Linked DNA regions of Sus scrofa. The protein of the gene in region 3 purifies or fractionates together with the protein of the main gene of each other region. This does not show direct contact. Links are inferred from orthologs where the notes say so. Each region holds a gene or a part of one and is shown on either strand. Other genes may lie near its edges.

Region 1 (4,821 bases), on a different chromosome or scaffold from region 3:
AGGGCAAAATAAATAAAATGGGGTTGTGTCTTTCTCCTTGGCTCCTGAGGTCTTTTATCTGTGTCTGGTACACAATTCCACAGACTAACTCACCATTAAAGAGTAAACCATTAGTCTTTGGGGCTTCACTCCCGGATTGAGTCACCCTTTGCGAAGAATGAACACTGGTTAACGTTTTACCAGTGCTAGTTTCTGCCAGAGTCTGTTCTAAGACAGGAGCCTACTGGCTTTTCACAACCAGGCCTTTTGTAATGAGCTGTTCTTGTGTCCATTTTAGAGATCCAGACACTGAGGTAAAGAGCCTCGTTCTGTACATGAGGTCACCTTGTTTGTGTGTGTGGCAGGGCTGCCAGTCGGGCTTTGCCTCTGACCTCTTTACCCACCTAACTTGTCGGCCTTCAAAGTGAGGTTCAAGGAACGACAGGGTCCAATCACCTCTCCCGCTGTGAAGCTGTCCCCTCAAGTCCCTTACAAATCCAGCAGCACGTGGCAAGTGTCCACAGCCAGTGCAGAAGGGCTAAGGGGACCTGATTCCCCTCAAGTCTCCCTCCCCCAGGGCAGCCGTGTTCCTCCTGTGTGCACCCGGCCAGCTCAGAAAATTCCAGGGCGCCCCCTCAAATGATACTGGAACATCATCTCAACTTTCTTCTTAAAATGCATTTAGTTCCCTTAAAATTTAAAAATGAAAATCTGCCATAGAACAATTTAAAAAAGAGAAACGTGAGGTGAGGAGCACACACGCTTTCCTCTAGGCAGCTGTGGAAATGCTGCCCGAGGTGGAACAAGGTGAGTGACCACGGCCACCATCGCTGGGTCTTCACAGGCCATCAGGAGCTGATCTAAGAGAGCGCATCTCATTCTGAAATCCTCACAACAACCTTGTGGGTTAGATACTGTTACCCCTCCTTTATTTATTTATTTACTTTTTAATCTTTTAAGGCCACACCCGCTGCATGTGGAGGTTCCCAGGCTAGGGGTCCAACGGAGCTGGACGCCAGAGCCACAGTAATGCCAGATCCGAGCCCTGTCTGCGACCCACACCATAGCTCACGGCAGTGCCGGATCCTTAACCCACTGAGGGAGGTCAGGGATCGAACCTGCATCCCTTATGGATGCCAGTCAGATCCATTTCCACTGAGCCACAACAGGAACTCCTTGTTACCCCTCCTTTAAATGGGATCCAGAGCACAGAAAGATGGACTCACTCATCCGAGGCTACACCGAGTTGGGATTTGGGATTTGAACCCAGACATGCCCAATGCTGAAGTCCACGTTCTGATCTGCTACCGCACCCCACCCCTGCGCCCCGCCTCGGTGCTCCTCTTCCCTGCCTGTGCGAGGTCCTCCCCTCGGTCGGGTCCTTCTCCTGCATCCCTCACCCCGAGGAAACTGGTAGTGATACACAGGCCTCTCTTCATGCACAAGAGAATTTTACACAATAAATAAAACACAAATGCACCTCAGTTTTCCCCTTTGGAAAACAGAGAAAGTGACAGTCTGAATTCGAAAAGGAGGGAGGCACATGGTGTTTGGCGCAGAGAGATCTGAACTCCAGAAAAGGGGAGACCTCTTCGCACGTCCCTCCCCGCATTTGCTGCCATACCTCCAGGGCGGCCACGGGGCAGCTGGATGCCAAGTACAGGTCCTGAGCCAGGTTGAAATCACTAGTAAACATGGCAAGATGTCCTGCCAAGAGATGACAGTCCTCTATTCCCTGCAAACAAGAGCAGTCTTAATGAGAAGACATACCACGGTTTGGTTTTTATTTAAGCACTGGGCTTAGGAGGCAGGGGCAGTGGTCCATTAGGGAACCCATCTAGGAGGTACGTCAGATGAACTGCAGAGATTTTAAATATCTGGCTAAATACCATTTGAATGCTCATCTGATAATTCCCATACGATGCTGTTTACCTTTATCTGTTCCAAGGACATGACCATGCCAACGTTTCCGATTGTCCGATACACGCGGATGGCAAACTCTACTTCCATGTGGTATAGACAAGCTCGGGCCAACTCATTCCAGGCGGCATGATCATTCAGAATCTTGCAGACTTCCCAAGCATCAGGAAACCTAGCATATGAGTATATAAGCTTAGTCAGGGAGCTCTATTTTGCCCCCTCTTAGGCAATTTTCAGATTATGTACAATTGTAATGTTGTGCTCTAGATAAATTTTGCAAAAACATTCCTTAATTTTTAATTGTCACTTCCAGGTTATGAAAAACTACCTAAGCTTTCTTTTTTGTGCAGATGTTTTTTTCTTGAATTTCTCGTAACTACTGAAATCCACTCTGTGTAACCGCCTTACCTCATCAGCAACCAATTCTATTTACTCATTTATTTGTTGGTTTACGTCACACAGAGAAAAAAATTACTCCTGTTCTCATATAAGTCTCATAAAATTAGTACTCTATTCCACAGATTTGGAAATTTGAAACGAAGATCAACCAATTATAGCCTGTGGGCCAAATCTAGTCAGCTGCTTGTTTCTGGAAGTAAAGCCTGAGTGGAACACAGCCACTCACCCATCCCCTCTTCACGGCTGGTCTTGCACTACAACAGCTGACCTGAGTAGCTGTGATTGACCTTAAAGCCTGAAACACCCTTTGGACCATAACATGAAAAGCTTGCTGACCTCTGGTGTAAAATGTAACCACAGGAGTTCCCCTTGTGGCACAGTGGAAAAGAATCTGACTAGGAACCCTGAGGTTGCGGGTTCAATCCCTGGCCTCGCTCAGTGGGTTAAGGATCCAGCGTTGCCATGGGCTGTGGTGTGGGTCACAGACACAGCTCGGATCCTGCACTGCTGTGGCTGGCAGCTATAGCTCTGATTCAACCTCTACCCTGGGAACCTCCATATGCCGCGGGTATGGCCCTAAAAAGCAAATAATAAAATGAAATAAAATAAAACATAACCATAAATGGAACCCCTACATTAATGACTATACTACCCTTCCCTGTCTGTTCACTGATGCAAATTTCCATCCAACACACTCACTGAGCATCATCTGGTGCCAGGAACTGGGCCTGGACCCAAGATGTAAAGTCAAAAGCAGTCACTGTCCTTTAGGTGGTTGTACTTGGGGAAGGTGGAAGAGACAGGTAAGTGAACAAATGACTATGACAGGGTATGGCAGAGGTGACAGAGGGCCTACAACATGTGAACCTTTGTGCTAAGCGCTTTGCACACATTCTCTCATTGGATCACCCTAACAACCCTATCTACTAGTTATTATTATTTCTCCTTTATAGGTGATCAAAGTGAGGCCTCAAAAGACCAGCCTGAGTCACGAGTGGTAAGAGGTAAGAGGCTCTAAACCACCCTGCATGCTGGATCCGGGCTCCGAGGCAACACTTCAAAAAGGCCCCAACCCACAGTGCCAGTGGCCGGGCTCGGGGAAGCCTTCCTGCAGCAGCAGAGGGCTCTGCTGCTGGCAGAGGGTGAGGCATTACCCCCACGAACAGAGACAGGGAGGGGCGGTCCAGGACCAGAACACGGCACGTGCCAAGGTAGGAGATCATGAAACATACTGAGTTCCAGCAGCTGGTGAACAGAGAGGAGTGGAGGGGACGGCCGAGGCTGCTATTAAATCAAGTGAGCGGTGTGCCATGCAGGTCCCCAAAGAAGTGGGGGTTTCTTCCTAAAGGCAATGGGAAGTCACTGAAAGATCTTTGGCAGGGAAATAAGTGGATCAGACTCACATTTTTGAAAGTGTGTGGAGAATGGGTTAGCTTGTCATGGGTCTCCCAGTGGAGAGCAGTCAGGAAGGGGTTCTGTCATACGTGGCTCCACGCGAGGGCCGGAGTCAAGGAGTATCAGAGCGGAAAAGGATCTGGGGTGTGTGTGCGCAGGTGTGTGTGTAGGTGCAGAGTATGTGTATGTGCAGGTGCGTGTATGTATGTGTGTGGATGCCGGTGTGTGTGTAGGTGTAGTGTATGTATGTGTCGGGGTAGGTGTGTGTGGGTGTAGGTATAGGTGTGCATGTTTGGGCATGTGCACCATGTGATTAAGGGAGGGGAGAAGAGGAGGCTGGGGCAGATTTTTTTTTTTGTGTGTGTGTGTGTGTGTGTCTTTTTGCCTTTTCTAGGGCCACTCCTGCGGCAAATGAAGGTTCCCAGGCTAGGGGTCGAATCGGAGCTGTAGCTGCCGGCCTACACCACAGACGGCCACAGCAACTCTGGATCTGAGCCACGTCTGGGACCTACACCACAGCTCAGGGCAACGCTGGCTCCTTGACCCACTGAGTGGGGCCAGGAATTGAACCAGCATCCTCTTGGATACTAGTTGGGTTCACTACTGCTGAGCCACAACGGGAACTCTGATAAGTTGTTTTAATCAGGGCAAGTTTGAGCAACTCATGGACTTGCAACTGCATGTGACTGGGAGGCAGTGGGAAATACAGGTTTAAGTCAAGGACACACATTTTGGGCTCAGCCTTGTATAGATGGCATTGAGGCCATCTTTGGGGAGATTCACTCAGGAAGAATGACTAGAGTGAGAAGAAAGGGGTTCAAGGTACCGTGAAGAAGAGCAACATTTAAGAGAGGATGGTCAGAAGAATTAGAACCACAAAGGAATTCACAGCGGCCCTCAGAGGTAAGAGGAAAAAGCAGGAAAAGGAAGGCTCAAGTAAAGTAAAATCGAAATTTCTTAGGATGAAATTAAGACAGTTTTGAAATAATTGGGTGTATTCGAGTTTCACAATAACTGTGCTATTTGGGTGATGAGAAACCTCTTTGTTCTGAAGGACTTTTCTTGGAATAAAGCATCTATGACACAAAAGGACTTCCTTCAGAATTTACATACATTCTCATATTCATC
Region 2 (4,821 bases), on a different chromosome or scaffold from region 3:
AGCAAGAGGCAAAGCAAAACGTAAGACTTACCAGTACCGCTCCTCAAACTCATAAATGTGAGAATAAAATGGAAAAATAGGTTTTAATCTGATGGTTTGAAATTTTCTGTGTAAACTTGCTCATAGGAGTTCTTGTTGTGGTGCAGTGCAGACAAATCCAACTAGGAGCCATGGGGTTGAGGGTTCGATCCCTGGCCTTGCTCAGTGGGTTAAGGATCTGGCATTGCCTGTGAGCTGAGGTGTAGGTAGCAGATGCGGCTTGGATCCCTCATTGCTGTGGCTGTGGTGTGGGCCAGCAGCTGTAGCTCCAATTAGACCCCTAGCCTGGAAACCTCCTTGGGTACAGCCCTAAAAAAAAAGCTGCTCATAAATCCAAGTAGCAGTATTTCAAAGTTCCCAATTCAAATTAGTTAACTAGGCTAGCGATGAACAAAAAATTCAGGAAAACAAGTGTAACTAATGGAGAGAACAATGGATTATTGATTCTGTTTGTTGTGATAAAATATACATAGCTCAACAGTTACTGTTCTAACCATTTTAAAGTATGTAGTTCCATGGCATTAAGTACATTCACATTGTTGTAAAAATTAGCAGCAGCATCTCCAAAACTCTTTCATCCTCCCAGACAGACTCATCCCCGTTAGACACTAACCCCTCATCCCCCTTCCCAGCCCCTGGCAACCTCTGGACTACTTTCTCCATATATTTGACCCTTCTGGGTGTCTCATAAAAGTGAAATCATGTGGTATTTGTCCTTTTGTGTCAGGCTTAATTCACTAAGCTAAATATCTTCATTCATTACGATTCATTAATGTCACAGCCTGTGTCAGAATTTCATTCCTTTTTTTTAAGACTGAAAATATTCCATTGTGTGTATAGACCACAGTTTATTCAACAGTTGATAGATAGTTGGGTTGTTTCTACATTTTGAAAGTTGTGAGTAATGCTGCTGTGAACATTGGTTGTGTAAGTATCTGTTAGAGTCTCTGCTTTCTGTTCCTTTGGGTATATACCCAGAAGTGGACTTGCTGGATTATATGATAATTCTGTATTTTTTTATATATTGTTTCCACAGTGGCTGCATAATTTTACGTTGCCACCAGCAGTGCACAGAGGTTTCAGTGTCTCCACATCCTTACTAATACTTATTTTCTAGTGTTTTTTTTTTTTTTTAAATAATGGTCATCCTGGAAGTGTGTGTTGTGGCTCAGTGGTAACTGCGGTGAGCTGTGGTTTAGGTCACAGATGCAGCTCGGATCTGGCATTGTTGTGGCTGTGGTGTAGGCCGGCAGCTGCAGCTCCAATTTGACCCGTAGGCTAGAAATTTGTGTATGCTGCAAGTATGGCCGTAAAAAAGAAAAAAAGTCATCTCAGTGCTGGCAAAGTGGCATCTTATTGTGATTTGTGATTTTAATTTCCCCCGAAGACTAGTGATCTTAAGCATCTTTTCATGTGCTTATTGGCCATTTATGTATCTTCTTTGGAGAAATGCCTATTCAAGTTCTTTACCCATTTTTGAGCTGGCTTTGTTTTCTTGTTGAGTTGTAGGAGTTTATTTAATCTGGATATTAACCCTTTATTAGATGATTGCAGATGTTTTCTCTCAGACATAATGTTTCAAAGAGCTAAATTAGGACAGCAACAGTAGGAAGGGGGAAACAAGGGATGGATCTAGGTGAGATTATGAAGAAAGGATTGTCAAAATTTGGATAAAGTAGCCATGTTTTAAGTCAGAATAGCTTGAAATGTGTTTTTTTTTTTTTTTTTTTTTTTTTTTTTTTGCTTTCTGGGGCTATGGATGTGGCCTATGGATGTTCCCAGGCTAGGGGTCGAATCAGAGCTGCAGCTGCCAGTCTACACCACAGCTCACGGCAACACTGGATCCTTAACCCACTGAGCAAGGCCAGGGATTGGACCTGCGTCCTCACGGATGCTAGTCAGACTCATTAGCCACTGAGCCATGATGGGAACTCCGCTTGGAAATGTTTTAAGCAAGAAAGTTAAAGTTACCTGTGGTTCAGAGGTTTCTGGCCCTTTTTGACGTTTCTCCTTTTCTGCTAGGTATCTCAGGGAGTTTGAACTTTGATGAGGAGGACACTGACGGGGAGGAAGAAGAAGGGAAAAAATTAAGTTCTCATTCACCAAATTCAGAGGCAGAGAGACCCAGTTCTGCATCCAGCCAGAAACCAACCACAGTATGTAGTTCCAACTTTTGCCTTTGGAACGAATGTTAACTGTTTGCTAACATATCTTTGGAATTTCAGTGCCATTACTGAATGAGGGTGGCTTCCAAGATTTAAGCTGGAACTTACACTGAAAGCTCCCAACTCCCTAATTTCTTGTGTCTTGAGCAGCTACTGTGATGCTGTACCCCATTTTAGTACTTTGCTCCTTCATCACTCTAAATATTCATATACTTATTTAGCTTCTCAGAGTTTTCCCTTATTTTGTCAGAAGGCTGAAGACATGTGGGTCAATCAAGAAGTTATTTTGTTCTTTAAGTGTTTCTCAAAGAGAATGTGAGGTTTTCTGACCCAGGCTTCTGTTGCTCACATGTGGCTGTTCTTTCAGGATACAGCAGCTTCTGGGACGGCAGCCCAGCAAACTGATAACCAGCTGGGAGAAATAGACAACTTGGAGGGCTTCGCATACAGCCCTGCCCCTCGAGGTGTCACAGTCAAGTGTCGCATCACCAGGGATAAAAAAGGAATGGACCGGGGTCTCTTCCCCACCTACTATATGCACTTGGAAAAGGATGAAAATCGGAAGGTGCGTGAAGTGATTCTTAAGACAGATCTTGTGGTGAAGGGAGGGTGCTGTGGGATGGGTTTTTTTTTTTTTTTTTTTTTTTTTTTGTTTCGCTTTTTAGGGCTACACCCGAGGCATATGGAGGTTCCTGGGCTAGGGGTCTAATTAGAGCTACAGCTGCCGGCCTATACCACAGCCACAGCAGTGCCAGATCCGAGCCACATCTGTGACCTATACCACAGCTCATGGCAACACCAGATCCTTAACCCACTGAGCGAGGCCAGGGATCGAACCCACAACCTCATGGTTCCTAGTCGGATTCTTTCTGCTGCGCCATGACGGGGACACCCCTGTGGGCCAGGTTGTTGATGGGTCTTAGGAGTGGGGCAGTGGGGGGTATACACCATGTCAAGTGCTGGGTCTTCCCTATATCTTCAAAGAGTTCATGGTCTAATAGTCAGATCTATCCCCACCTCAAAGAAGAAGAGTTTTATCCAGAATGTAAAAAGATGGAAGAGAGTATTTGAGTGTAATTATTTTTAGCTTCGTCCCTTTTTTGGGGTGAGGGGTGTTCCAGCGTGCTCTTTGGTTTTTTTTATTACAGTGCAACATGACATCAGGAAGAAGCAGAGCGAGTTTTAGGGAATTGGAGGAATTGGAAAGAGAGTGAAATAGCTTGTTTCTCACCCTAGAAATTCCAGTTTACTTTATATGTGAATTTGAGGCAATTTAATACTTGCCAGTCAACAAGCATCTTGTATTAATACCAGGTCTAAGTGGATGATTTTAAGAGCCTGGAGATGAAATGATAGCAGGAGTCAGTGTTGTTATAACCACTGTTTATTGAGTGTTTACAGTGAGTCGGGCGTGTGCCAAATGCTCTATGTATGTTAGCACCTAGAAGCCTTATGACAGCCTTCCTCCTTAAGATAAGAGTTGTTAGTCCTGCTTTATGGGTGAAATTGCTGGGACTTCAGCAGTGACATACCTTCTCAGTCACACTGAGAAGTGTCAGTGCCAGATTCAAACTCTGATTCCAAAGTGTTGTCACCTCCCCAGTTGCTGCCTCTCCTGCTTCCCTGTTATTGTCCTAGTCTAATAGGGTTTGGGAAAGATACACAGTATTCCCACCTCTGAAGTCACAGAAGTTTAGAAGCACACCATACAAAATGCAGAAAGAAGCAGGAAAGCAGTTGCAGTGGGGGACGGGAAGCCCATGTCCAGGTCCCACCTCTCCCACAGGTGGAAAGACTCTTACTCAGGAAATTGCAATGAAGCTTTTTCAGAAAAATTATTGGAGGTTTTAGGGATGAAGTTGTAAATAATTATATGGAGAATCAAGCTAGTAAATTGAGAGAAGTTGTGCAGTAGGGAACCCCGATAGTGAATTCTGAGAAGCATTATGAGGGTTGGAAAAAGGGGTAAGGACTCTAGAGACTGGTCTCCAAGAAAAGCCCAAAGGGCAGGCACGCTGATGCTGTGATGGGGCAGCGAGACCCCCAGAGCCTGGGCCTGGAGACAGTGGCCTCCACAATAGCATCTGAGGGGCAAGGCCACAGAGCTGTCAGAGGCAAGGCCAGGGACAAGGAGCAGATGCCCCTCACCAAGCCAGGCTCCCTGGTCAGGGACATGAAGGTCAAGTCTCTGGAGGAGACCCATCCCTCCAGGAATCTGAGATGACTGACTTCTCCCTGGGACGTCCCACAAGGAGGAGATTTGGAAGATTATACTAGAGCAAAGCAGGCGTGCTGGCCCGCAGACCAGCGTCAAGGTGTTTGTCCAGCTGTGGCCACCTCATAGTTTTTCATCTTTTTTTTAGGGCTGCACCCAAGACATATGGAGGTTACCAGGCTAGGGGTAGAATTGGAGCTGCAGCTGCCAGCCTACACCAGAGCCACAGGTCAACACTGGATCCTTAACCCAACTGAATGAGGCCAGGGATTGAACCCTCGTCCTCATGGATACTACTTGGGTTTGTTACCACTGAGCCACAAGGGGGACTCCCTCAGGGTTTTTCAGCAAGGAAAATTAAAGTGAATGAAACCTGTTTTTGGTTGTTTTTGTTTTGTTTTT
Region 3 (5,500 bases):
GAGTCAGTGCAAGGTTTGGAAGACACTACTCCAGGGCCTCTTTCTGCACACAGTGAGCACCTCTTGCTTTCAGGAAGTCAGGGAAGAAGTAGGAGTGAAGGCTTGGAAAGTGGCCCCAAGGTGGTGATGGTGCAGCTGTGGAAGAAGATAGAAATGGAGTCTCAGGCGTTCCCGTTGGGGTGCAGTAAAAATGAATCCAACTAGTATCCATGAGGATGCAGGTTCGATCCTGGCCTGGTTCTGTGGGTCGGGGATCTGGCATTGCCCTGAGCTGTGGTGTAGGTTGCAGATGCAGCCTGGGTCCCGTGTTGCTGTGGCTGTGGTGTAGGCTGGCAGCTACAGCTCAAATTCAACCCCTAGCCTGGGAAATTCCATATGCTTCAGGTGCAGTCCTAAAATGCAAATAAAAAGAAAAAAAAAAAGTAAAGAAAAGAAAGAAAGAAAGAAATAGAGTCGCTCTTGCTAAGAAAGCTCTCTACAATGGAACTAAAAGGTCACTGGGGGAGTGTGAATTATGTAAGTCTCAGCCTGGATAAAATCTGACCTTTTGACCACTTATTGTCCTAATGAAGGCATCCAGAAGATCTGCCAGAAACTCAAGATACTTATCAGACCCCTACCTTACAATAACTCGTGACAGCCTATCTACTTATCAGACCCTTACTCGGAAGTAACTCGTGATTCCTTAAGGACAAACATTTCCTTTCTCGTAGTAGCAGAGAACAGCCTCATGACTTTTGCCTTTTGTAAGCCCCTGACTCTTTCTTTTCCCTGGAACACTCTTGATTTTACCAGAATCTGTCTCCCAACAATTCTTAAGATAGCCCTCCAATAAAGCTCTTTGTTCTTTGCAGCCCTGATACTGATTATTGTTTAATAGAGCTCACAAGAAATGGAAAAATTCAGGAGTTCCCATGGTGGCACAGCAGGTTAAGGATCCATTGCTGTCTCCGCACGGCCCAGGTCACTCCTGAGGCTCGGTTCCATCCCTGGCCGGCATGGTGGGTTAAGGATCCAGCATTGCTGAAGCTGTGGGGTAGGTTGCAAATTTCAGGGCGATAAGCCCATCTGGGGGTCCAAGCTGGGGTTCCCCAATACCAAGGCCTGGTCAGTAATATTGACCTGGGGGTCTTACAGGGTGAGCTAATGAAGGCTCAACTGACTTTTCTCATTAGGCTGGGAGTTTGAGGGCCATCTTCCTCTGCTGGCCTGGGAGAATGGGTGGCACCCAGGAACACGTGCTAGAGGAAAGTTCTTTAGTAAAATCTGGTGGAAGAAAGGCACTTGGCTCTACTGTTTAACACTCAGGTGATTTTCCTCAAGGCGCCGCCCTGCACCTGAATATTTTTACTTGTTGAATAGAGATACTGCCCTTGATCACCTCAAAGGGTGCTGGAGGGATTATTTGTAGTTTTGAAAATTATGAATACTCAGGTATTGGGTGTGTTGGTTCAGCCTCTCTGTAAACTTCAGGCAGAGATTACATATATCGCACTTTTCATTATAAACCATTTATTAGCACCTGACCCTCTGTGTGCCTGTTTTCTCATCTACCCAGTGGAGACAATACACCTTATCTTGCTTCCCACACAAAGGTGTTATGCCCTTCACATGAGTTAGCAACTGTGACGATCCTCTGTACATTGCAAAGAGCTGCACAAATGGAAGGAATTGGGGTAATCTCTACTGCTAGTAGTAGTGCTTGGCCCTTAACTTATGTATTTGGAACAGATGTAGGCAGTTTCTAAGGACTAAAAGTTTTCACTGTACCACAGGAGCACCCTTAGCAGAATTTAAGATCTGGAGATTTCTTCCAGAAGTCAAACAAAAAAGGTTTAGAAAGATTTGGTTTAAACTGGAGGTTAGCATATCCAAGAACAATGCGGCGGGCCCTTTAAGTAGGGGGATGGAAGGGCGGAGCCGTCGTCAGGGACGCGAGTAGGCCGCTGGGTTTCCAGGAAGTGACGCCAAGCGGCCGTGGAGATGGAGGACGTGCTGGACCTTGGCGAGGAGCGGCGTCGCGGCTCGGCCTTCTCCGTGAGGACCGACTCGGGGGCTTGGGGCCAGCAATTGGCGGGTGGGCAGGAATGACCCCGCCGGCCCCGGCTTCCCTGAGGTGCCTCGGCCCAGCCTGTCCCGGGAGGCGGGAGCTGGCGGGCCCTGAGTCTTGCGGCGGTGGGGTGGGTGAGGCCGGGGAGGAGGTGGCCTCCCTCGTCCCGCCCCTGGGGCAGCAGCTCCTCCGCTGCTGGGCTAGGATTTGCTTTCTTTAAAATCTTCAAAAAGTGGAAAACAGATTCCGCCTCTGCCGGCCTCTGGGACCGGTGGGACATTTCCCAGGTTCTCTCCGCTCCCTGGAGGTCCAGACGCCAACTCCCATAGAATGGGGAGATCTGAGGGTGACGGACTGGAGGGGCCCTGGTCAGGGTCGCACTTGCATTCCTCCTCGAGCTTTACCCTTTAGACTTGTCATGCCAGAGGTTTTTGTGAAAACCGTACGATTTTATTCAGGGAAGGAAAGAAGGCAGGTAGACAGAAGGCAGGTAGACAGGGAGGGCCTTTCTTGCCACTAATTCCCTTGGGGCGGTAGGGGGGCATTACCTCAGTTTTTATAGTTAAGGAAATCAAGAAGCAGATTTATAACGTGGGGGAAAGTCTAGGTGCTGGGGGTGGGGGTGGAGCCCAGAGGTCAGAGGGAGTATAAAGCTGTTGCTTGGGTTAAAAGAAGTTAACCTCCTGGAACCTCAATTTCCTTATCTCTAGAATGGAGATGCTGATACCGACTTTAAGGAGTTGCGGGAAAGATGAAATGAGATGTGTGTGGAAAGCATTTAATACAGTGGCTGGCATGTGCTGAGATATTAGAAGAGGTTAGCTGCTATTGATTTACTCAAGGTTATATGTACATAACAGCTATATTCAAGACCCAAGTTCAGTGTGTGTGTATGTGTATGTGTGTTTTAACTCGTCACAGCCCCATCAAGCCTTTTTACCTTTAAAATTATTGAAGATCGCAGTCACTAACAGATTGGCCCACGGGGAGTTCCCGTCGTGGCTCAGTGGTTAATGAATCCGACTAGGAACCATGAAGTTTCGGGTTGGGGATCCGGGGTTGCAGTGGCTCTGGCGTAGGCCGGCAGCTACAGCTCCGATTCGACCCCAAGCCTGGGAACCTCCATATGCCGCGGGAGTGGCCCAAGTAACGGGAAAAAAAAAAAAAAAAAAAAGATTGGCTCACGGGCAGGTCTTTAGTTTTGCTGTGGAGTCTCTATGAGTTCTGAAGGGCCCCATCTGATGTCCTCTAAGTTACTAGAGGAGAGAGATGAGGAACAGGAGCAAATTGCTCTAGGGCGAAGCGGATTGCTTGACTGATCAAGGAGAATATTAGGTCATCAGACCTTTCGGATCCGTGCACTTTTTTAGTACCTGGGGGTTATAAATGTTCTCATTCATTCATTCTTTCAACAGATAGTTATTGAGCCCCATCTGTGTATCCAGCATTGATTGTCTTTAGGTGCTGAAGATACAAGAGTGACAAAACTTAAGTCCCTGCCCTTATGGGGCTCATGTTCCAGTGAGAGGACAGGCAGTAAACAGACTCTACTTTGAAATATATAAAACCAGAGAGTAGTTTTTCTCAGTCATTCCAGTGGATTTATACAGGGTCTTTGGAATTTTTAAAAACCTTAGACTGTGTGACAGTTATTGGAGAAACCATCTATAAACAGCATTGAGAGGCAAGATCCTTGACTTTTTGTTGGAGCACAGTCACTGCATGTTGTATGCCAGGATCACATACCCAATGTTATGGTAAATGGAAAAGGGCAGCCATAGACAACCCCACAGACAAAGTGGGATTGTCTACCTTGGGAAGAAAATGAGCTGCTTATTGTCAGAAAGGCTGTTTCTATCATCCCTGAAACCAAAATGATTACTTAGAATTTGACATGTAAACATTACATAAGGGTGTTTATGCAGCTCTCAATGTATTGGTGCAGTCAGTTCTTAGAACATCTTAAAACTGAAATTCCAGCAGGGTGTAGAGGAAAGAACTCAGGGTTAGAAGGCAGATGATTCTGCTCTTGGATTTATCTGTTACTTAGTTGCTTTCCTGGATCTCAGTTTCCTCATTTGTAAAAGGCCTCAGTCTCAGTCTCTCTTATTGTGAAGTCCAATGAGATCCAAAAGTGCTTACATTAATGCTGTTTTTTTTTTAAAGCAAAAAATGAGAAATATAAACATTTCAACACCCACTAGTCTGCCTCAATACAGTTTTGTGTATACGCTTGGAGGCCTTTGAGACAAAGCCTGCACCCCAGGAGAGCTTTGGGAAACACCTGCAAAGGGTTCATTTCATGACTCAGAATTTGGCATGTTCTGATTTCCAAAGCTGATGTCTCAAAATTCTTGTCAGTACTTTTTCTTTAATGTCTGTAAGTGCAAATCCAATTAGTGCACACGTCAAAGCAACTGCTATCTGTATTTCTCCGGTTTCAGTTCCCAGAGAATTGCTGCCCCCTCCCCAAAGCCTTTTTGATAACAATTTTCATGCCGAGCTGCAGCTTTGAGGGTAAGCCTTCCTCAACTCCCGCATAGGAAGATGGGGGCCTTGACCGTACTCTTCCCGAGCTGTGGCATGAGGTCGGTGCCCCTTCTAGGGGAGTTTCTAGCTGCTTTTCATGGGCAGGAAAGGTCTGTGGCTGTCAACAGAAAACACGGTGGTCCCCCATGGATTTCCTGTTTTACCATCTAGAACGGACCTCGGGTGCTTTGCTGTAAGGATTGGGGCATTTTCTGAGTTTTCAGTCAAGTTGCTCAAATCCCTTCCTCCCCATGTCACCGTGAAGCCCATGCTTGCTTACCTTTGCAGAATTGTCCTCCTCATAGTGGCTCAGAGACATCTGGGTCAGCAGTGCCCCTCATCTCTCCTTACAGGGGCCCAGGATGGGGCGCCGAGCTCAACAGGAGTCCGCTCAAGCCGAGAACCATCTCAGTGGCAAGACGGCCTCTTCCCCTCTGACTGCAGAGGTGAGTGTTAAAAAGCTCTGAAGAAATGCACTCTAATTGTTAGCGGTTACTCAATGAGCAAGGATTTGGTCTCTCATGTGTTTTTTTTTCTCTTTCTTCTCTTTACTGTCAGCCTCCCTCCTGTCTTGATTGGGGAATTCACTTGCCCGGCATTGGGCCTGTTAGCAAGAAACGGAAGAGGAACTTTTTTCTTTTGATGCCAGAGTCGTGGCTGTGTATCGCTTTATAGTCTCAGGGAAGACGTTTTGTACGTTAGCTGAAGCGAGGGACTGGGAAGATTCAAAATCCGGGTTTTTATTCCTGCCAGCCAAATGCCAGGGAGGCATGCCGCTGACGTAAAAGCTGGATTACACAACTGGACGTTTGTGGTGACCCGCGCTTTCTACAGTTTTTAGGCAGGAAGGGGAGCTGCCCTGGCCTTGCTTTCCTGGAAACTTTTCCAAGTGGCCTGGAATCGTGGGAATTTATCCAGCTC
Region 4 (4,821 bases), on a different chromosome or scaffold from region 3:
CAGTATCAGGAAGCCCTGCAGCTCTGCCTGGAGCAGAACTTGACCATCACAGAGGAGATGGCGGAGAAGATGACCGTGGCCAAGGACTGCGCAGACCTGTCGGAAGAGTCGCGGCGTGAGCTGCTGGAGCAGGTGGCCAGCTGCTGCATGCGCCAGGGCAGCTACCACCTGGCTGCCAAGAAGTACACGCAGGCTGGCGACCGGCTCAAGGTGAGCGGCCCCCCCCCCGCCCCCACGGGGATGACTTCTGGGCAGGGCTGGAGGGCACCGCGTCCCGCAGCCCTACTCGGAGGAGGGCCCAGCCCGGCTTGTCCTCTGTCCAGGCCATGCGCGCGCTGCTCAAGTCTGGGGACACGGAGAAGATCGTGTTCTTTGCGGGCGTCTCGAGGCAGAAGGAGGTTTACGTGATGGCCGCCAACTACCTGCAGTCCCTGGACTGGCGGCGGGACCCCGAGATCATGAAGAACATCATCAGCTTCTACACCAGGGGCCGCGCCCCCGAGCTCCTGGCCGGCTTCTACGACGCCTGCGCCCAGGTAGACGCGCCCCCTCCTGGGCCCTGAGTGGGGTGCGGCGTGTGGTCCGGGGGTCCTGATGCCTCCTCGCGCAGGTGGAGGTCGATGAGTACCAGAACTACGACAAGGCCCACGGGGCGCTGACCGAGGCCTACAAGTGCCTGGCCAAGGCCAAGGCCCGGAGCCCCCTGGACCACGAGGCCCGGCTGGCGCAGCTGCAGAGCAGGATGACGCTGGTGAAGCGCTTCATGCAAGCCCGCAGGTGCGTCGTCGCCGTCGCTGGGACGCTCTGAGGACGTCCTCAGACAGCTGGACGGCGGCGGGGCAGGGGGAGGGGGGAGGGCAGCCCCGAGGCCGCGCGCCTGCCTGGGCTCTCCGGGCTCCCTCAGAGCCTGGGGCCACTCTCAGAGAGCACGGAGGACAAGGGCCGTGGTTGGGTCGGGAGGCGGGGTCTGGGGGCCGGGCCTGCCCGGGCGCGAGCGGGGCTCGGGCAGGTGCTTCTGGAGGGCAGCGCGCAGGCCGTTTTCAGAGAGGGCCCCCCTGTTTAACCCGACACCCTGCAGCGTGTCGGGGCCCTGGGGCAGCAGAGCGCAGCTCCCGCCTCAACCGCTCAGAGTGCTCTCCTTGTCTGAGGATGGGCGTTTGAAAGAAGAACACGGATGGCAAAGCGGGGCTCCGTGAAGGGTGCTTCCCCGCTGGGATGCGTGGGTTCAGGAGCAGCCGCAGAGCCTGGGCTGCGGGAGGGAGGGGGCAGGGGAACTGGCGGCAGAGACCGCGGGAGGGCCAGAGGGCAGGCCTGCCCCGCCGTCCTGCCTCCACCACCAGCCCCGGACCGAGTCCAAAGCCCTGTTCCCAGCAGGGCCCACACGCACCCCACCCACTGGGCAGGCGGACCACGCATCGTGTCGCCACGCTGGCCTTTGCCCCCGCCTGAGTGTCCCCACACAGTGACAGCCCTGTCCACGCCCTAGCTCCTGCCCCGCTGTCCCCTCTGGCCTGCCTGACGACCCCTGCAGTCCCGAGTCTGGTGTGGCGGTGCCAGCACCCACACTGTGACCAAGCAGTGCGTTGTTTTTGTTTTTGTTTTGTCTTTTTGCCATTTCTTGGGCCGCTCCCGCGGCATATGGAGGTTCCCAGGCTAGGGGTCCAATCAGAGCTGTAGAAGCTGGCCTTCACCACAGCCACAGCAACGCGGGATCCAACCTACAGCACAGCTCACAGCAACGCTGGATGCCCAACCCACTGAGCAAGGCCAGGGATTGAACCCGCAACCTCATGATTCCTAGTTGGATTCCTTAGCCACTGCGCCACGACGGGAACTCCTTTTTTTTTTTTTTTTTTTTTTTTTTTTTTTTTTTTGGCGTTGTTCTTAAGTTAGTGAATTTGTGAGTTGACTGGTTAACGAATTGCCTCAGCTTCAGGGAATCCCCTCCCCGAGAGCCCGCTCTGCCCTCCGACCCGCAGCCCGCGTGCCGGGTGGGGCTCAGGCGTCTTTGCTCCGCAGGATGTACGCCGAGGATCCCGAGGAGGCACTCAGGCAGGGCCAGCTGCTCCTGGAGGAGCTGGGCCCCGACAGCACGGTTCGCCTCGGGGACGTGTGCGGCTTCCTGGTGGAGGGCCACGTGCAGGCGGGGGACCTGCGCACGGTGAGGCTGCGGGCAGCGAGGACCTGTGCACGGCGGGGGGGGGGGGGCTCCACAGGTGCCGCTTTTGTGTTGTTTCCACTTTTGCGAATCTTTTGAGCCTCTGCCAGCGGGTCGAGGACGGCTGGACTCCATCTCCGCTCTGCGTTCACTGCGCTAAAATGGGCTATTCCGGCTGAGATGGGAGCCACGGGATGCAACCAGCTATGGGATGCAGCCCGCAGGGGCGCCCCTGGGTCTTCTTGGAGGCAGAAACCTCTTAGGCTTTCCCTTACAGCCCCGTGGGCTCTCTGGTATCTTCTCCATGGTCTTGGAACACCTCGGTGCTCGTCCGGAAAATACCGGTTCCCTGGTCTGCAGATGCTAGCACGCTTCGGGTTGCTCCAAGCTCCTTGGAAGGGTCTGTGCGTCAGGCAGATGCGGCACCTGTGGGGGCCAGGCATGGTGGCAGGTGTGCGGCGGCGTTGCTGTCGTTTCATTCAGGGCTTCCTTCTGCGGTGTCTGCTCTCATGTTGATCGGGTCCGCATTTTCCATTCCAGCGTCCCCTCTGCCTGCCTGCCTGCCTGTCTTTCTCTACTCTGCTTTCTCTCTCTCTCTCTCTTTTTTTTTTTTTTTTTTTTTTGCTTTTTAAGGCCTCACCCGTGGCATGTGGAGGTTTCCAGGCTAGGGGTCGAGTCAGAGCTGCAATTGCCAGCCTACACCACAGCCACAGCAACACCAGATCCTTAACCCACCAAGAGAGGCCAGGGATCGAACCCAAATCCTCATGGTTCCTAGTGAGATTCATTTCCACTGTGCCACAATGGGAACTCCTTTTAGTTTTTATTTTTATTTGCTAGAACATCCTTTTTGTTCATTTATTAAAAACCTATTTTGGGAGTTCCCATTATGGTGCAGCAGGATCAGCAGCATCTCTGCAGCCCCGGGACACAGGTTCAATCCTCGGCCCGGCGCAGTGGGCTAGAGGACTTGGCGTTGCCACAGCTGTGGCGTAGGCTGCAACTATGGCTGAGATCTGACCCCTGGCCCAAAAACTCCATATGCCACAGAAGGGCCGAAAAAGAAAAAAAATGTATATGTATTGGAGTTTCCTTGTAGCACAGCAGGTTAAGGATCTGGTGTTGTCACTGCAGGTGCTCCAGTCAGGGCTGCGACGAGGGTTCAGTCCCTGGCCTGGGAACGTCCACATGCCACAGGCACAACCAAAAAACCCCCCATATTTTCCTGTATACACTCGATCATAGTTATAATTGCTGCTGTCAAGTTTTTTGCTACTAATTCAAACGTCTGGTTCATATGGAGCTAGTCGCCATTATTTGTCTTTTCTCTTGAGCATAGGTCAGGTTCTCCTATTTCTTTTTATGTCTGATGACCTCTCTGGTGTGCGAGTCCCTGTGGGTGGCTCACAGAGAGCCCGGGTTCCGTGACGTTCCCCCAGGAGTACTTCCCCTTCTTTCTTTCATTAGGCAGCCATCCGGGTTCAGCTCAGTCTCAGTGCGCCCTCCTGCCCCGTGTGAGCAGCCGCTGCGGTCTCCGCTGTCTTTTTGCTCAGGTCCGGCCTCTTGGAGGCACACACGGACTGTGGGTCACGGGGGATCGGGGCAGAGCTCATCCTTGGGAACTGCTGCTTCCTCACACCCCAGCTGAGACGGCGGATGCACTTCTGAGTCTGGTTCTTGCAGCCAGAAATGTGTGGGTTTCCATGTACCTTTTTTTTTTCCTTTCTCCCTACCCCATGGCACATGGAGCTCCCAGGCCAGGGATCAGATCCGAGCAACAGTTGCAACCTACACTGCAGCTGCAGCAACACTAGATCCTTAACCCACAGGAGGTGGAACCTTCGTCCCTGCGCTGCAGAGGCGCTGTCAGTCCCGTTGCACTGCAGCAGGAGCTCTTCTGTGTAGTTTTTCAGCTTCCCACGGTGACCCTGACAGGTGTCTCCTGAGGCAAAAGTTGCGACAAGCATTAAACTCAGCCCAGACACCAGTTCCCCTAGTCTACCTGCCCGTAGTTGTTTTTCAGAACCTTTTATGTTTTTTTTGTTGTTGTTTTTCTTTTTGGCGTCGCACTTGCGGCATATGGTGGTTCCCAGTCTAGGAGTCAAATCAGAGCTGTAGCCGCCACAGCCACAGCCGCATCTGTAACCTGCACCACAGTTCACGGCAGCACTGGATCCTTCACCCACTGAGCGAGGCCAGGGATCAAACCTTCATCCTCATGGGTACTGGTCAGATTTGTTAACCCCTGAGCCACGGGGGGTCTCCAGAGCCTTTTATGTTTTGCCCAGTTTATCACTGTTGTGGGGGAGCTGGTCTGAGGACCCCGCCTTCACCAGAAGACTGTCCTTGTTCTTTTTAATATGTGTTTGTTTGTTTGTTTTTGGAGTGGAGTGATTTGTAGTGTTCTGTTGGTTTCGGGTGTACAGCCAAGTGATTCAGACACACACACACACATATATATACATTCATTCTTTTTCAGAATCTTTTCCCATAGAGATTATCACAGAACATTGAGTAGCGTTCCTGTGCCATGTGGGTCTTTGCCGGTCATCTGGCGTATACACAGCAGTGTGTGTACAGTAATCCCAGCCTCCTAATTTATCCTTCCTCCACCCCTACACTTCTCTCTTGGTAACCATAAGTATTTTTTATCAAAATCTGTG

What was found. The genes of interacting proteins can lie anywhere in the genome.
Region 1: the proteins of IFT43 (region 3) and WDR19 purify together in Homo sapiens (affinity purification with mass spectrometry; 3 studies listed by BioGRID and IntAct, counting the BioPlex papers as one, with this or other methods). This does not show direct contact. The link is inferred for Sus scrofa from reciprocal best matches to the Homo sapiens genes IFT43 and WDR19.
Region 2: the proteins of IFT43 (region 3) and TULP3 purify together in Homo sapiens (affinity purification with mass spectrometry; 5 studies listed by BioGRID and IntAct, counting the BioPlex papers as one, with this or other methods). This does not show direct contact. The link is inferred for Sus scrofa from reciprocal best matches to the Homo sapiens genes IFT43 and TULP3.
Region 4: the proteins of IFT43 (region 3) and IFT140 purify together in Homo sapiens (affinity purification with mass spectrometry; 3 studies listed by BioGRID and IntAct, counting the BioPlex papers as one, with this or other methods). This does not show direct contact. The link is inferred for Sus scrofa from reciprocal best matches to the Homo sapiens genes IFT43 and IFT140.

What each region holds. Positions count from the first base shown.
Region 1 is NC_010450.4:30,504,621-30,509,441, reverse strand, and holds part of WDR19 (WD repeat-containing protein 19), read right to left. Parts: intron 2,072-4,821; coding exon 1,912-2,071; intron 1,715-1,911; coding exon 1,604-1,714; intron 1-1,603. UniProt on the Homo sapiens protein: As component of the IFT complex A (IFT-A), a complex required for retrograde ciliary transport and entry into cilia of G protein-coupled receptors (GPCRs), it is involved in cilia function and/or assembly.
Region 2 is NC_010447.5:67,206,941-67,211,761, reverse strand, and holds part of TULP3 (tubby-related protein 3), read left to right. Parts: intron 1-2,061; coding exon 2,062-2,195; intron 2,196-2,571; coding exon 2,572-2,769; intron 2,770-4,821. UniProt on the Homo sapiens protein: Negative regulator of the Shh signaling transduction pathway: recruited to primary cilia via association with the IFT complex A (IFT-A) and is required for recruitment of G protein-coupled receptor GPR161 to cilia, a promoter of PKA-dependent basal repression machinery in Shh signaling.
Region 3 is NC_010449.5:99,156,934-99,162,433, forward strand, and holds the start of IFT43 (intraflagellar transport protein 43 homolog), read left to right. Parts: upstream 1-1,908; 5' UTR 1,909-1,983; coding exon 1,984-2,037; exon of another isoform or gene 2,038-2,116; intron 2,117-2,760; exon of another isoform or gene 2,761-2,867; intron 2,868-4,859; exon of another isoform or gene 4,860-4,932; coding exon 4,933-5,025; exon of another isoform or gene 5,026-5,306; intron 5,307-5,500. UniProt on the Homo sapiens protein: As a component of IFT complex A (IFT-A), a complex required for retrograde ciliary transport and entry into cilia of G protein-coupled receptors (GPCRs), it is involved in ciliogenesis.
Region 4 is NC_010445.4:40,363,885-40,368,705, forward strand, and holds part of IFT140 (intraflagellar transport protein 140 homolog), read left to right. Parts: intron 1-3; coding exon 4-210; intron 211-323; coding exon 324-536; intron 537-610; coding exon 611-777; intron 778-2,019; coding exon 2,020-2,161; intron 2,162-4,821. UniProt on the Homo sapiens protein: Component of the IFT complex A (IFT-A), a complex required for retrograde ciliary transport and entry into cilia of G protein-coupled receptors (GPCRs).